Linked DNA regions of Macaca mulatta. The protein of the gene in region 4 binds, or shares a complex with, the protein of the main gene of each other region. Links are inferred from orthologs where the notes say so. Each region holds a gene or a part of one and is shown on either strand. Other genes may lie near its edges.

Region 1 (3,639 bases), on a different chromosome or scaffold from region 4:
TCTTCCATTTTTTAATCAGTTGATAAGGAATACAAATCGGTAACAAAACCAAAGCCACTAAGTCAACCTGAAATGAGTCCTGCTGCACCTGCAGCCGTCAGAAATGATGTCACAAAGCAACGTGCTGCACCAAAAGTCTCTCCTCATGTTAAGGTAGGATGAGGAGAGTGGAGTGGTCTTTGTCCTTGTAAGAGCATCACTGTCACTGTCATTTCCCACATTGTTCTCTGTTCTTTATCTCAGAGCATGCAAATAAGGGAATTAAGGCCACAGTGTGAAAAGCACTCTGAGTCACAAAAACAGGAACTACCTCTGATTAATCAGATTAAACACCTGTTGAGCTTCTAATCTCTGTCAGGGCCTGGACACATTAACACTCTGTTATGGTTTGGATTCTATAAGACGAAAACTCTGAGATAGACAGTTGTTTACAGGAAGTCTATTTTAGAGCACTTTCAGAATTAGTATCTGTGAGGAAGTGAAAGGAGTAGAAGAGGAAGAATGTCAAGTCCAATATAGTTGCAATAGAGGCCTTGGCCTACCCCACAGGGAGCTCGGGAGCTGAGAATGCCCTTCAGGGCTCCCAAGACTGGTGGGGGAGTCTGTGGTTTGCACAGACCCAGGCTCTGGGTCACATCAGAGATCTATTGCAGAGACTCTTACACTCGGCCTGGCATGCCTCTGTTTGTTTTCCCCTGTATTTTCCCTTAGTTCTTGACAGCAAATTGCTTTTTAAAAGTAATGTAAAAAAGCCCTTTATACACCTGCATGGACAAGGTGAGGTGGCCCTGTTTAGCTGAGAGAGTAGTGCCTGAAGAGTCTCATTGATGAGAATGATTACTTTAGTCCTGAGGGAGCGGCAGGCAATATCGGAAAGGCCCAACACAGAATCCACCACACATGCAATTTCATTTCCTGTGAAGCAGGTGTTACACCATTTTATAGCTGTGTGAGCTCTAGAAACTGATTACACATACTTCATTCTCTTTGTCTAGAGGAGCCATTTCCTCTGGGTTTGGCCCAGAAACTTCTGGATTTTTCAGAAAACAAGGTTCAAGTATACATGGTGTGATTCCATCACCAGTAATGAAAATATGCATCATTCAGTCTGGAAGACTCAACTAAAGATACATGGACCAAAGAGGACTTTTGTAGTGGAACTCAGTGGAACTGACCTTTACCTGCATTGATCCAAATGCAGTCAGTTATACTGCCCGTCAGGGCCCCTTACTGGCCCCAGCTCCACTGGCCCAAGCTTCAGGTCACATCGGAGACAGCCTTCGAGACTCCTACACTTGACTTTTTATGCCTCTGTTTGTTTTTCCCTGTATTTCCATTTGGTTCTAGATGGCAAGTTGCTTTTAAAAAGTAGTATTTTCTCCCAAAACAAACCAAAAAAGGTATCTTATCTCTGTTAATTCAGAAAAATAAAAAACACAGAGAAGCGAATAAAATTACCTATAATTGTATCATCTAGGAAAAAAATATTGATGTTGGTAAATATCTCTGTAGTGTGTTTGTGTGTGTGCTTTAACTGCTTATTTATCCAAAAAGAAAGAGATTTTTTATCTGTTTAGGACCTTTCCCTTTATTGAGTCAGTTATAACAGTTTATCACATTATTTCTCTAAAGCATTTTTAATATTTGCATAGTAATCTATTTGTGACTATACCATATTTTGTTTAACCAAATTCTATTTTTTATGTATTTAAATTATTTCTTTTTTTATAATTTCAAATAATAAGATATATTTTTAAAATGTAAACCTTAGTGCATAATTCATTATTTAAGGGTAAATCCACAAATGTAGTATCAATTCTCCTTTTAAATTTCTCCTTTAACTCACTTGTAAGATCTCTGACCTAGGTCTCCCCCTTAACTCACATTAAACATAGTCTACATTTTGTTACGTACAATACCTCCCTAGGAATTTGGGGAACCCTGTGCAGGTCACTGAGCTCTCTCACTTTTATACCAGAGTAAAATGAATGTTTAGGACAGTGTTGGATAGAGAAACAAGGATATATTATGCCCGAATGGAATCCATAGAAGATGGAATCAGATTTATCAGATTTACCCCGAGGCTTAGCAATATTTCAGAAATCTGATGAAGTCTTTTTATATAGCACATGGCAAAGCAAGGATTTGGTTTTAGGGATCCTTCCTCCAAAACATGTTACACCGTCTTATCTGAATACAGGAGTTGAAATCTTCCTTCTGCACTCTCTGTTCCATCTAGATCATTCTAGGCCTCAAGTCTCTTCTTATCCCCTCTGTGTCTCTTCCCTTGATTCCACCTGTCTTCTGTGGCTTCCTGAGGCTTAGCACTGTGGGTGAAGGAAGGTCCTCTCAATAGTACCTTTTTGACTCACAGCTGATATCTTTCTTCTCTTGTCTTCAGCCTGAGCAGAAACAGAGGGTGGCCCAGCAGGAATCTATCAGAGAAGAGTTTCGGAAAGACTGTTTGCCAGTTATGGTACTGAAAGCAACAAAGCCCTTCACGTTTGAGACCCAAGAAGGCAAGCAAGAGATGTTTCATGCTACGGTGGCTACAGAGAAGGAATTCTTCTTTGTAAAAGTTTTTAATACACTGCTGAAAGATAAATTCATTCCAAAGAGAATGATTATAATATCAAGATATTATCAGCACAGTGGTTTCTTAGAGGTAAATAGCGCCTCATGTGTGTTAGATGCTAAATCTGACCAAAAGGTTGATGTCCCGCTGAACATTATCAGAAAAGCTGGTGAAACCCCAAAGATCAACACGCTTCAAACTCAGCCCCTTGGAACAATTGTGAATGGGTTGTTTGTAGTCCAGAAGGTAAGTTTTCATAGCTAATTTCATATTGATTAGTAAGAATAACGTATTTTCCATCTGATCTTAAAGAGACTTTAGAAAAGGTGTTAATGTCTATACAGACAAAATAAAAAAATACAAAGTTCTAAAGAGCTGCAGAGTTAACATGCCAAAATTCATACGAAAACTCAAAAATTGTTTTTATTGTCAAAAATGTCACAATCCTGTTTCAACTTATTCTTATCCCAGTAGCCTCTGAAAAAGGAATTAGTTCGTTCACATAGTTTTTATTTCTGCGTTATTTTTGTACTTTGTCCATATTATCTTTATTTTAAGTGACTATTGTTGTGATTGCAAAATAAGTGTAGTTGAGTAATCAACCAAATTAATTGACCTGAAAAACCAATATGCAAGTCAGGATTAAAGAACTGTGATTAAATGAAGAAAACAGAAGAAAGAGTTAGCTTGAGGAGACTTATTTATTTCTTTCTTTTTAATTAAAAGTAAACTTTAATGTCGAAAATGCAAACTTGGGGAAGACAGAAAAGATCACATACAAGGCTATCACTTCACACTTGGAAGGTTCCACAGCGGCTGGCGCTCCTCACTTCCCAGACGGTGGGGCGGCCGGGCAGAGGCCCTCTTCACTTCTCAGACGGTGGGGCGGCCGGGCAGAGGCCCTCTTCACTTCCCAGACGGTGGGGCGGCCGGGCAGAGGCCCTCTTCACTTCTCAGACGGTGGGGTGGCCGGGCAGAGGCACTCCTCGAGGAGACTTATTAGAAGTGAGAAATAATAAAGTATTATGACTCTGAGCTTCAGGGAACTAGCCTTGTGGAATGAC
Region 2 (4,400 bases), on a different chromosome or scaffold from region 4:
CCTGCTACACTTCTTGCCTTCTTGGATTCTGTGTGATACCACCATATCTCTATACTAAAGCCTACTTCAGACGGATTTCATGAACTGTGCAGGTGAGAGCCCTCAGTCCCTATAGGAACCCGATCTCCTCTTTCCTCCTACTGAGTATGGAGCTCCATCTAGGATGATCAGTGCCTTAAAAGAGGCTTAATATTTTTGGTTGTTCATTTATTCATTCAATTCAACAAATATTTATTGGGTATCTGCCATGTATTGGCTTTTAAAGAGACTACAGTTGAACAATTCCCTAAATAGCTCCAAAATAGCATGAGCTGACCCTACCAGAAGCCATGGTGTAGCTCTCCAGGAGTTGTTCTAGAAAAAACTGCTGATCACTTCTGCCTCAACCAGAAGAGCCCATGGACCACTGGACAAAATGGAAAGCAAGTACCAAGGTGAGCACCTTTTAGTGAAAGCCAACACACAACCCACAGGGTTGAGTATCCCTGTGAAGGACTGAGTGCCTAGGGCTGGCCCTATCGGGTTCCCACAACCTCCAGTCATGGTCAGACCTCCAAAAGGTAAAATATGGACACCTTTTTTCTGCCCTAAATCTTTAAGACTCTCCATGCTTCTGGGTTATCAAAAGCCTGTGTCCAGAGCATGTGCTTGTCAGGAACATTAATTAGGGTATTTGCATGCAAGAGTTGTCATGCAAAGGAGAGGGCAGGAAAGCTCTGAATTGTTTCCACTGCAGTGTACACCACAATGTCACCAACTTGCTGGATGGGCTGGTATATCTAGCCTTACCACAATGCCCTTGGAGTGGGTTTGGGGTCTGCCAGCTCAAGGAGCTCCTGTTCATAGGGCATGTAAGTCCCTATGAACATATAAGTCCCAAGGAATACAAATAGGGATCCTTCACTACATCGTTGGATGCTTCACAACTTTCCCAGCCTCCTGCAGGACCAGCTGAGTGGTCCTGCAACCTGTGTGAAAACAGGTGAAACCTATGTGAAAACAGCCCTGAAACCTATGATGTGAAAACAGGATAACTTGATGGTTCAGAGCCATTATTTCCATATGGGCTTAGGCAAGGTACTTAAACTCTCAGTGTCTCAGTTTCCTCATCTATAGAAAGGTAATAAAAGCAGTACCTATCCCCTTAGGGTTCGTGTGAGAATTAAATAAGCTAATCTATGTACCTGGTGCATGATAAGTTTTATATATGCATTGGCTATGATCTTAGGGCAGCTATGAGAGAGCTGAGCCCCAAAACCATAAAACCTGCCTAAGCACCATCTCCACTCATGGCCTGGCAGGTGGTGGAGCAGGAAATCCTGTGGGAAAAGAGAAGGCTTTGACTGTAGGAGTGGGTTGATTGTGGGTTCCTGGAAGGTGAGGACCCATTGCCACACCTAACCTGGCCGCTGCATGCGGCAGGCACTCAGGAAACGCTAGTCAGGGAGAAAGACACTAGCTTTCACTTTGCCCCCTGCCCCACCCCAGGGGCGGGACTGTAGAGGCGCCTGTAAGGGAAGTTGTTCAGTCAACTCAGAATACGGGTAGCAACCCGGAAAGTGGAGTCACCGTCCTGGTCTAGAGACTGATCCCTGCAGAGACAGATCCCTTCCCCTCTCTGCCAAAGACCGCAGCCCCAGAAGTCATTCCATCTCCTACTGCTCGCAATCTCCAGAGGCCCCCTCGCACCTTCCAGCCTGATGTCGTGCGTCAAGTTATGGTGAGTAGGGAGTGGCATGTCGATCGCAGCCTCCGACATTCACACCCAGAGCGCCCCACGGACTCGCTCAGAGAACGCCTTTGAGTCTGGAGACGGTGGGGGCCGGCGAGAGAGGCCGGGGATTGCAGTAAGAGCGCCGAGTCACAGGGGCGCGGGGAGCAGCGCTGGCGTAGGGCACTGCCGGCTAGTGGGCGACACCCCTGTCTCAGGCCCAGTGGTGCCTCCGCCTCCTTGGTGTCCATCGAGGAACTGGAAAACCAGGAGTTCGTCGGCAGAGGCGGGTTCGGCACAGTGTTCCGGGCGCGATATAGGAAGTGGGGCTACGATGTGGCGGTCAAGATTGTAAACTCGTGAGTGACCCCTGTTGCCCCCCCGGCCGCAATCTGGCCAAAAAGGTGGAGCCACTGTGCTCTGGGGCCTGAATGGGGAATGGAGGGATTTTTCCCACGACCCCGGGTGACTCCAGCTCTCTCCTGGAGTGTAGGAAGGCGATATCCAGGGAAGTCAAGGCCATGGCAAGTCTGGATAACGAATTCGTGCTGCGCCTAGAAGGGGTCATCGAGAAGGTGAACTGGGACCACGTGCCCAAGCCGGCTCTGGTGACTAAATTCATGGAGAACGGCTCCCTGTCCCGGCTGCTGCAGCCCGAGTGCCCTAGGCCCTGGCCGCTGCTTTGCCGCCTGCTGAAAGAAGTGGTGCTTGGGATGTTTTACCTGCACAACCAGAACCCGGTGCTCCTGCACCGGGACCTCAAGCCATCCAATGTCCTGCTGGACCCAGAGCTGCACGTCAAGGTCAGCTGCTCTACACCCCTCTCAGCCTCAGGACAAGGTCCCACCCCAGAGCAGCTCCAGCCAGGCCCACTGGACACCAGACCTCCAGAGCCCTGTCTATTGAATAGGCGTAGCCTCTCCCTCTGGACACAGGGCTGCCAGGGCACAAAGCCCAGCCAGGAGTTTTAGCTCCTGCCATACCAGGTGATAGAGGCCCCGACCCACACGAGTCATTTCCACCAGCTGCCCCACCAACCCCTCCAAAGAGTCATGGCTGACCCAGCCCTGGAGACTCACACCTTGACCCAGCCCTACCACAGGCACCTAGATCTACTATCCAAGGGAGCCTCTTCCCTTGACCTCCACACTCCCTTTACAAAGCTGAACCTGAACCTTCTGGGGGCAAGGGGGTTTCTGGAGGCTGCCTGGCCCCCTTGTCTTCCCTACCTCCCACTTCTTTCCTTCCTTTGCAGCTGGCAGATTTTGGCCTGTCCACATTTCAGGGAGGCTCACAGTCAGGGACAGCATCCAGGGAGCCAGGGGGCACCCTGGGCTACTTGGCCCCAGAACTGTTTGTTAATGTAAACCGGAAGGCCTCCACAGCCAGTGATGTCTACAGGTAAGGATCCCAGCCCAAACACACAGCCGGGATTCCTACACTTCTCTGGGCCCTCCCAGGGGGTGATGTATAGGAAAGGAGTCTTGCCAGTGATTGGACTGGTCCTCAGCTTTGTGTCTCCTGCAGCTTCGGGATCCTAATGTGGGCAGTGCTTGCTGGAAGAGAAGCTGAGTGTAAGACTCTAGGCGGATTCTGGGATCCTTAACCCCAGGTGCCCTTCTCTTGAAAGCCCCAAAGCTTCCCCTTCCTGCTCACCTACTAAGACTGCCCTCCTCCATCCTTGTGCTCCCACATTACACTCCCTGCCTCTTTCCATGATGGAGCAGATATTCCCTTTTACCCTGAATGCCTTCTCTTCTCACCCTCCTCCCCTACTCCAGTGCCAACAGAAGCATCACTGGTGTGTGGAGCAGTGTGCAGGAGGCAGACCCGGCCCTCATTGACTGAGCTGCCCCAAGCTGGGCCTGAGACTCCCGGCTTAGAAGGACTGAAGGAGCTAATGCAGCTCTGCTGGAGCAGTGAGCCCAAGGACAGACCCTCCTTCCAGGGTGAGCTGGCCAATTAGCTGGATCTGGGGTAAGCTTGGGTCTGTCAGCATGGGGCTTTCCTCAGGAAAAGAAGATTTGCTCACCTGCAACCCACTCTGCTGTCCCTCTAGAATGCCTACCAAAAACTGATGAAGCCTTCCAGATGGTGGAGAACAATATAAATGCTGCTGTCTCCACAGTGAGCGCCAACATCACCCCTCTCCAGGAGCTGGTCAGGGATGGCACAACATGGCTACCTGGCCATCCAATGACTCACCATTAACCACAGCTTTTTTATGCCTTGACCTTTGTCCTCACCCTCCCCAGCCCACCCCTGAGTTCCAAGAGACTACTCCCTTGGGTTTACTCTGGCTCATCCAAGTCATACCCAGCAAACTCCTCCCATCCCTGCAGGTAAAGAATTTCCTATCTGAGCTCAGGAGCAGCAATCCGAGATTTTCTACCCCCGAGTCAGGCCAAGGAGGGACAGAAATGGATGGCTTTAGGAGAACCACAGGAAACCAACACTCTCGTAATGATGTCATGGTTTCTGAGCTGCTAAACAAACTGAATCTAGAGGGGTCTCCCAGCTCTGTTCCTGAAAAATACCCGAGCCTTACCAAGAGGAGCAGGGCACAAGAGGAGCAGGTTCTGCAAGCCAGGACAGCAGGGACATCTTCAGATTCAGTGGCCCAACCTCCCCAGACTCCAGAGACCTCAACTTTCAGAAACCAGATGCCCAGCCCCACATCAACTGGAAC
Region 3 (2,732 bases), on a different chromosome or scaffold from region 4:
GGGAGATTACACTTTTTTTTTAATTGTGTCACTTCATTTAATGAGCACATGTCAATTTGGTAACTAAAAATAATAAAACCTTAAAAAAAAATAGAACAATAGGCTGGGCGTGGTGGCTCATCCCAGCACTTTTGGAGGCCGAGGTGGGCAGATCATCTGAGGTCAGGAGTTCCAGACCAGCCTAACATAGTGAAACTCCATCTCTACTAAAAAATACAAAATTAGCCGGGTGTGGTGGTGCATGCCTATAATCCCAGCTACTCAGGAGGCTGAGACAGGAGAATCGTTTGAACCTGGGAGGCGGAGGTTGCAGTGAGCTGAGATCGTGCCCACTGCACTCCAGCCTGGGTGACAGACAGAGCGAGACTCCATCTCGGGAGGCAGGAGGAGGAGGGGACGAAAAAAGAACGATAAAGATTTTTTTTTTAATTTGATGGAAAAAAAGAGCGATAAAGATTTTTTAAAACAATTGGATGGAATCCTGTTTTTAGAATCTAATCCGTAAAATAAATGACATAAATGGATTTGAAATGATACCATAAATTAAGGGTGTAAACACAATATATATCTCTATAAATGCCTTTTAACATGAAAAGATGGCTACAGTCACATGCAATTAAAGAAATGAAATTTAAAAGAATAATTACAAAAATAATATTCAGAATTCTGAAAGCAAATTAATACAATTATTTAAGAGGGCAATATGGCACTTCCTATTTTAAGAAGTAAACTTTGGCCGGGCGCAGTGGCTCAAGCCTGTAATCTCAGCACTTTGGGAGGCTGAGACGGGCGGATCACAAGGTCAGGAGATCGAGACCATCCTCGCTAACACGGTGAAACCCCGTCTCTACTAAAAAATACAAAAAATTAGCCGGGTGTGGTGGCGGGCGCCTGTAGTCCCAGCTACTTGGGAGGCTGAGGCAGGAGAATCTCTTGAACCCGGGAGACGGAGGTTTCAGTGAGCCAAGATTGTACTACTGCACTCCAGCCTGGGCAACAAGAGTAGTCTCAAAGAAAAAAAAAAAAAAAAAAGAATCATAGGCCGGGCGGGGTGGCTCATGCCTGTAATCCCAGCACTTTGAGAGGCCAAGGTGGGTGGATCACCTGAGGTCAGGAGTTCAAGACCAGCCTGGCTAACGTGGTGAAACCCCCATCTCTACTAAAAATACAAGAAAATTAGCCTGGTGTGGTGGCATGCGCCTGTAATCCCAGCTACTCAGGAGGCTGAGGCAGGAGGATCACTTGAACCTGGGAAGTGGAGGTTGCGGTGAGCTGAGATAGTACCACTGCACTCCAGCCTGGGTAACAAAGCAAGATCCCGTCTAAAAAAAAAAGTCATAGTTCATTAATCCAGGTACACAAATACTTCTATCCCAATCCAGTCTGCTTGTGTTTCTCTAGACTTCCCATGTCCTCAAGACAAAAGCAGAGAGAACCAGGGGACATGTCCTTGCCGTGGGGTTCTGAGGGAAAATGAGGGCCAAATCTTCTGTTCAGGAGCACCTGAGAGTACCATTCACCAGGGATGGATTATGCAACGACCCTGTACTTCCTCCTCTGAAATCCATGGTGTGTCATCAGTACACTTCTTTAGCGGATTTACTAATACGTTCGTTCCTAACTTAGCTCTGCTACAATCGGGGAGGCTCCATGGGCACAGTAACTATTTTGTTATTCGTTGCATTTCCTGTAGCAGCTGGCACCCAGGCGGCATTCCGTGACTGTTGAGTATGTGAATGCAAGATACAAGGCCAGAAGCTGGAAGAGAGATGCAGTGTTGGGCATTCAGTCAGGCCCCTGACCACCCACTGGACAGATAGTCAGAGGAGCTGTGTTCTTCCCTCCATCATGTGTCCCAGGGCTGAAGATAGGTTGAAGGGGCTCAGAGAAACAGCAGCTGGTGAATGTATAGATGCAGGATCTGGCTGTCACGTTGTAAAAGGAAATGCTTCCAACTCTGTAGTCCACAAAGATGCCCACACGCTTGGGAGGCACCTTTATTAGCAGGCGGGTTGGGGGAACACTGGATGCCTGGTACTCATTTTCCTTCATCATTATCACCACCCAGTAGCCATTCTCTGGTGACAGAGTCATGTTCCCTTTCCTGCTTATGGATGCCTTGCAGGCTCCTAGGATCCACGCTGTCTTGTCTCCGACCTCCACCTCCCAGTAATGATGGCCGGAGAGGAAGCTCGGAGAGCCCAGAACAACGATGCAGCTGTCAAATCTTTGCGGGCCATCAGGCAGCCTCTCCCGCTTGTTTCCAAGTCTAACACTCTTCAGATCATCAGAGACGATGAGGTTGGGGTAAGCGGTTTCTGCATCCAGAATCACATTAACTGCAAAGAAAATTTGAATACCTAGCTAGGGGTCCGTAGGCAACATCCCTACAGGGTTATCCCCACCTGCAGGAAAACAGGGACAGGGCAGTTATTCTCGAACGTGGTGGGGGAGAGCACAGGGATCCAGCAGGTCAGGGCCACTTGCCTTGATCTGGGCACTTACCGGCATGTGCCTGAGCGCCAATCAGCTCTGGAACTACAGAGAAAAATGAGATAGGGAAAAAAGTCCTGAGCATTTGTATTCAGAGGGGCTAAATTACAATGTCCCGACAACAAGGAGACGCAAGGAACCCCCTGCTTAGGGCCCTGCATGCTATGTTGGGTATAATCCCGTTCCTCCCAGGAACCCAGGTCATGTTGGGAACTGTGGTCTAATGAGTCAGCTCAGCC
Region 4 (3,639 bases):
AGTGGTTTGGAGAGTCTAGCAGGAATGGAAAAAGCAAAGCCTTTTCGTTTGACTTAACATTTCAAAAATGCTTCTCCTTTGTGATTAGGTGTAAGCAGCAAACTCTCATAACCTAGCCATCTTTGTGTTTTCATCTCAGTGAACCAGCAGAAACATGTACTTTTTAGGCATCATAACTTCTCTTTATGTAACCAACCATCCACCAAATACATCCCGACTTATTAGCCCATTTGCTCGTCCTCATGGTAAGAAGAAGAGGAAATCCTGAATATCTGAAGTAGGCTTGGGAGAGCCTGGTATGGGCTTCTGAGAAAATTACCAGACCTCTTTCATCTGAAAGTCAAGGATTAACCCAAGTAATGTGGTACTTTCTAAGCAATATAGCATGCTGCAAGCATTGTCCCCACTGAACAGCTAAAAACACTGTCTTAGTATCTTAGTAAATCTTAGTATCTTTTTCCTTTTTTAATGTTTTATTGAGACAGGGGTCTTGCTACGTTGCCAAGCCAGGTCTCGAACTCCTGGCCTCAAGCAGGTCTCCTGCCTTGGCCTCCCAAAGTCTGGGATTATAGGTTCTAGCCACCATGCCTGGTCAAATCTTAGTGTCTTAATATCTCAGTAAATACACTTAATATGCTTAATAAATACTTAGCACACTTAATAGTAAATAATACAAACTTAACACATTTGGTACAAACTTAATCAAATATTTAATATCTTAGAGTTAATGTATTAAAATAACAGGTTACTTGCCCAAAGTCATAAGGTGAAGTAGAGGCAGGAACTGGGCTTCCTAGCCTGGAGCCCTTTTCTCTACCTCAAGGGGCTACGTGAACCTCCAACTAAATGCTGAGTATCTCAGCACTGAAACAGCCCTAGGAGAATGAATAGGACACAGGGCCATCCCTGGCAGGTACTGTCAGATACTACAATTTGGATACCATAACCTACAGTGTAGCCAGGACCTGCCTGACCAGCCTGTCTCTTCCCAGCAGCCACCGTGGTCCTGAGAGCTGGGTTAAGCCATCACCTTTAAAATCCTGGGACCACACTGTGCAATGCATGAATGGGAGACCCTCGACTGTTAGCCACGAAGCACAGATGAGTTCAGTAGACAGCCAAGAGAATCACAAGGTTATGGCGTGGGGGCAACCAAAGACATTCATTGAGTAACTCTTGATTGAGCTCTCGTAAGTTAATACACCGTAGTCCCTGGCACAGATGTTATCGACCTCAAGGAGTTTTCTGTATAGTATGGGAAGCAGAAATGAGAACAAACAATAATACAATATGATGACAACAATATTAACATATGTGCAAAGTGCTCAGGAGGCCCAGGTATTGGGAAACTGACTTTACAGTGATGGGGCAGAAGTCTGAGGGGTCCTGTGTGAAGGAAATAGGTAGAAACTAGTTCTTCAAGGAAACGACCCCAAGTTGGGGTGGTGCAATGGAAAGCAAGTCCTCTTACTAGGGAGTTGTTTGTTTACATCTCTAGTGTTTGACCCACAGAGTCAGCTCCTGGGTTGGGTTTTTGTTTTCCAGACTTTGGACAAAGTTTACCAAATGAAAAGCAAACCTCGGGGATACTGTCTGATCATCAACAATTACGATTTTACGAAAGCACGGGAGAAAGTGCCCAAACTTCACAGCATTAGGGACAGGAATGGAACACACTTGGATGCAGGTACAGTAGAACCCAAAAGAGAAAAGTGAAATATTTCTTATGCCTATTTTTTTTTTAAATCAAAAGGCAGAGAACAAAAGCTATACCAAAAGAGTCATGTTTCAAGAAAATGGATTTAAACATATTTCCCTGTGGAGGTAAAGAACATTCTTATACATTTGTCGGTTTCCTGCTTTTTAAAAAATTAATCTTTTAAATAGAAGCAATGTATGTATAAATATGAAATATCAAATCTTACTAAAAGACACAATGAAAAGCAGTAATAAGCTTTGTTTTTAATTCAGCTAACTGCATAGTGCTTCTGTGGAATGCATTAAGCGATGGAACTGCCGTGGTATCAAAGCTCTTATAGAGGCTGCATTTTTACAGGTTGGGCTGTTAAGTGCAGCAGAAATTGTGGGTTCTTAACAGAAACAGCATTTTCAAGTATTAAATATTAAACTGGTTAGCAGTTCTTTTACTCAGCCTATTTAAGCTAAGATCAAGAAGCTACAAGTTAAATGAAAAAAACAATTTGTAGTATGTGAATATAAAAAGTGACTACAACAACAAAAAATAAAAATCATCCATCACCATTGAGATATTAATAATTTTGATTTGATCAAAGAACTTTTGAAAATAGTGTTCATCAGGCATAATATCAATTATTGATTTGTTTTGTAAATGGAGGTAAGTTTAGAAAATTAATGTAGACTGATTATAATCATCAGGACTCTGTAATGGTCCCTAGTAACATTTTTTTTTTTTTTTTTTTTTTTTTTGAGACAGAGTCTCACTCTGTTGCCCAGGCTGGAGTGCAGTGGTGCTATCTCGGCTCACTGCAGCCTCCACTTCCCCAATTCAAGTGATTCTCCTGCCTCAGCCTCCCAAGTAGCTGGGACTACAGGCACACAGCACCATACCCGGCTAATTTTTGTATTTTTGGTAGAGATGGGGTTTTGCCATATTGGCCAGGCTGGTCTTGAACTCCTGACCTCAAGTGATCCTCCTGCCTCGGCCTCCCAAAGTGCTGGGATTACAGGTGTGAACCACTACACCTGGCCCATGTTAACATTTGATTTGTTTATTTAAGCAAATCTAAGCCTTTAAAAAGGCACAGAGATTAAGTGCATTGATGACATCATTCGTCATTATGTGCTTGGTGTTGAAAAAAACATTTCGAGCCCTTGATTTGTATTATTTTAAAATTAAAACATTTCTATTAAAATAACACTTGCTTCTATTTCTGGCAGTTCATTTTCTTATAACTGGCCCATGATTGACTAGTCTCTGGTAGGCATTCGAGTCTGTGTGTCCTGCTTTTTCTATTCCTGTTCTTATGTTTTATGCTAAATGAGTAAAAGTAGGAGACCCCACTGCAGAAGTCATTTCTCCTGAGAGACTCCCTTCTGTCCTGCTTCAGTGCCTTGACACTCGCTTTACAGTCATTTTTTAAATCAACATTCCACATTTCCAAAGGATCAGAACTTTTTCACAGAACCAACACACTGTATTAGTCTTGCCAAAGTGCTTCCAAATCAACAATTGCATTTCCGTTTTTGTTTGTTCTATTCCTAATGCTAGACTGACTTTTTTTGTTTTAGACAGAGTCTCACTCTGTTGCCCAGGCTGGAGTACAATACCATGATCTTGGCTCACCACAACCTCTGCCTCCCAGGTTCAAGCAATTCCCCTGCCTCAGTCTGCCAAGTAGCTGGGATTATAGGCATGTGCACCACACCCACACCCAGTTAATTGTATTCAGTAGAGATGGGTTTTACCATGTTGGTCAGGCTGGTCTCAAACTCCTGACCTCAGGTGATCCACTCGCCTTGGCCTCCCAAGGTGCTGGGATTATAGGTGTGAGCCACTGCACCTGGCCGAGACTGTCTTTTGACTGATGGCTTATGTTTAGCTCTGATGTGCTGACAGGGACAAAATGCTGGAGAAGGAATAAAAAAGGAATAATCCAA

The links.
Region 1: CASP8 (region 4) and AIM2 share a complex: the UniProt entries of both Homo sapiens proteins name them as parts of the AIM2 PANoptosome complex. The link is inferred for Macaca mulatta from reciprocal best matches to the Homo sapiens genes CASP8 and AIM2.
Region 2: CASP8 (region 4) and RIPK3 share a complex: the UniProt entries of both Homo sapiens proteins name them as parts of the AIM2 PANoptosome complex. The link is inferred for Macaca mulatta from reciprocal best matches to the Homo sapiens genes CASP8 and RIPK3.
Region 3: CASP8 (region 4) and MEFV share a complex: the UniProt entries of both Homo sapiens proteins name them as parts of the AIM2 PANoptosome complex. The link is inferred for Macaca mulatta from reciprocal best matches to the Homo sapiens genes CASP8 and MEFV.

What each region holds. Positions count from the first base shown.
Region 1 is NC_133406.1:107,858,375-107,862,013, forward strand, and holds part of AIM2 (interferon-inducible protein AIM2), read left to right. Parts: intron 1-19; coding exon 20-153; intron 154-2,401; coding exon 2,402-2,821; intron 2,822-3,257; exon of another isoform or gene 3,258-3,570; intron 3,571-3,639. UniProt on the Homo sapiens protein: Sensor component of the AIM2 inflammasome, which mediates inflammasome activation in response to the presence of double-stranded DNA (dsDNA) in the cytosol, leading to subsequent pyroptosis.
Region 2 is NC_133412.1:97,456,237-97,460,636, reverse strand, and holds the start of RIPK3 (receptor-interacting serine/threonine-protein kinase 3), read left to right. Parts: upstream 1-1,481; 5' UTR 1,482-1,700; coding exon 1,701-1,720; intron 1,721-1,929; coding exon 1,930-2,070; intron 2,071-2,204; coding exon 2,205-2,514; intron 2,515-2,966; coding exon 2,967-3,112; intron 3,113-3,238; coding exon 3,239-3,285; intron 3,286-3,492; coding exon 3,493-3,660; intron 3,661-3,770; coding exon 3,771-3,838; intron 3,839-4,053; coding exon 4,054-4,400. UniProt on the Homo sapiens protein: Serine/threonine-protein kinase that activates necroptosis and apoptosis, two parallel forms of cell death. Necroptosis, a programmed cell death process in response to death-inducing TNF-alpha family members, is triggered by RIPK3 following activation by ZBP1.
Region 3 is NC_133425.1:4,477,610-4,480,341, forward strand, and holds the end of MEFV (pyrin), read right to left. Parts: intron 2,539-2,732; coding exon 2,506-2,538; intron 2,365-2,505; coding exon of another isoform or gene 2,340-2,364; coding exon 1,786-2,339; 3' UTR 544-1,785; downstream 1-543. UniProt on the Homo sapiens protein: Involved in the regulation of innate immunity and the inflammatory response in response to IFNG/IFN-gamma.
Region 4 is NC_133417.1:106,389,840-106,393,478, forward strand, and holds part of CASP8 (caspase-8), read left to right. Parts: intron 1-1,545; coding exon 1,546-1,687; intron 1,688-3,639. UniProt on the Homo sapiens protein: Thiol protease that plays a key role in programmed cell death by acting as a molecular switch for apoptosis, necroptosis and pyroptosis, and is required to prevent tissue damage during embryonic development and adulthood.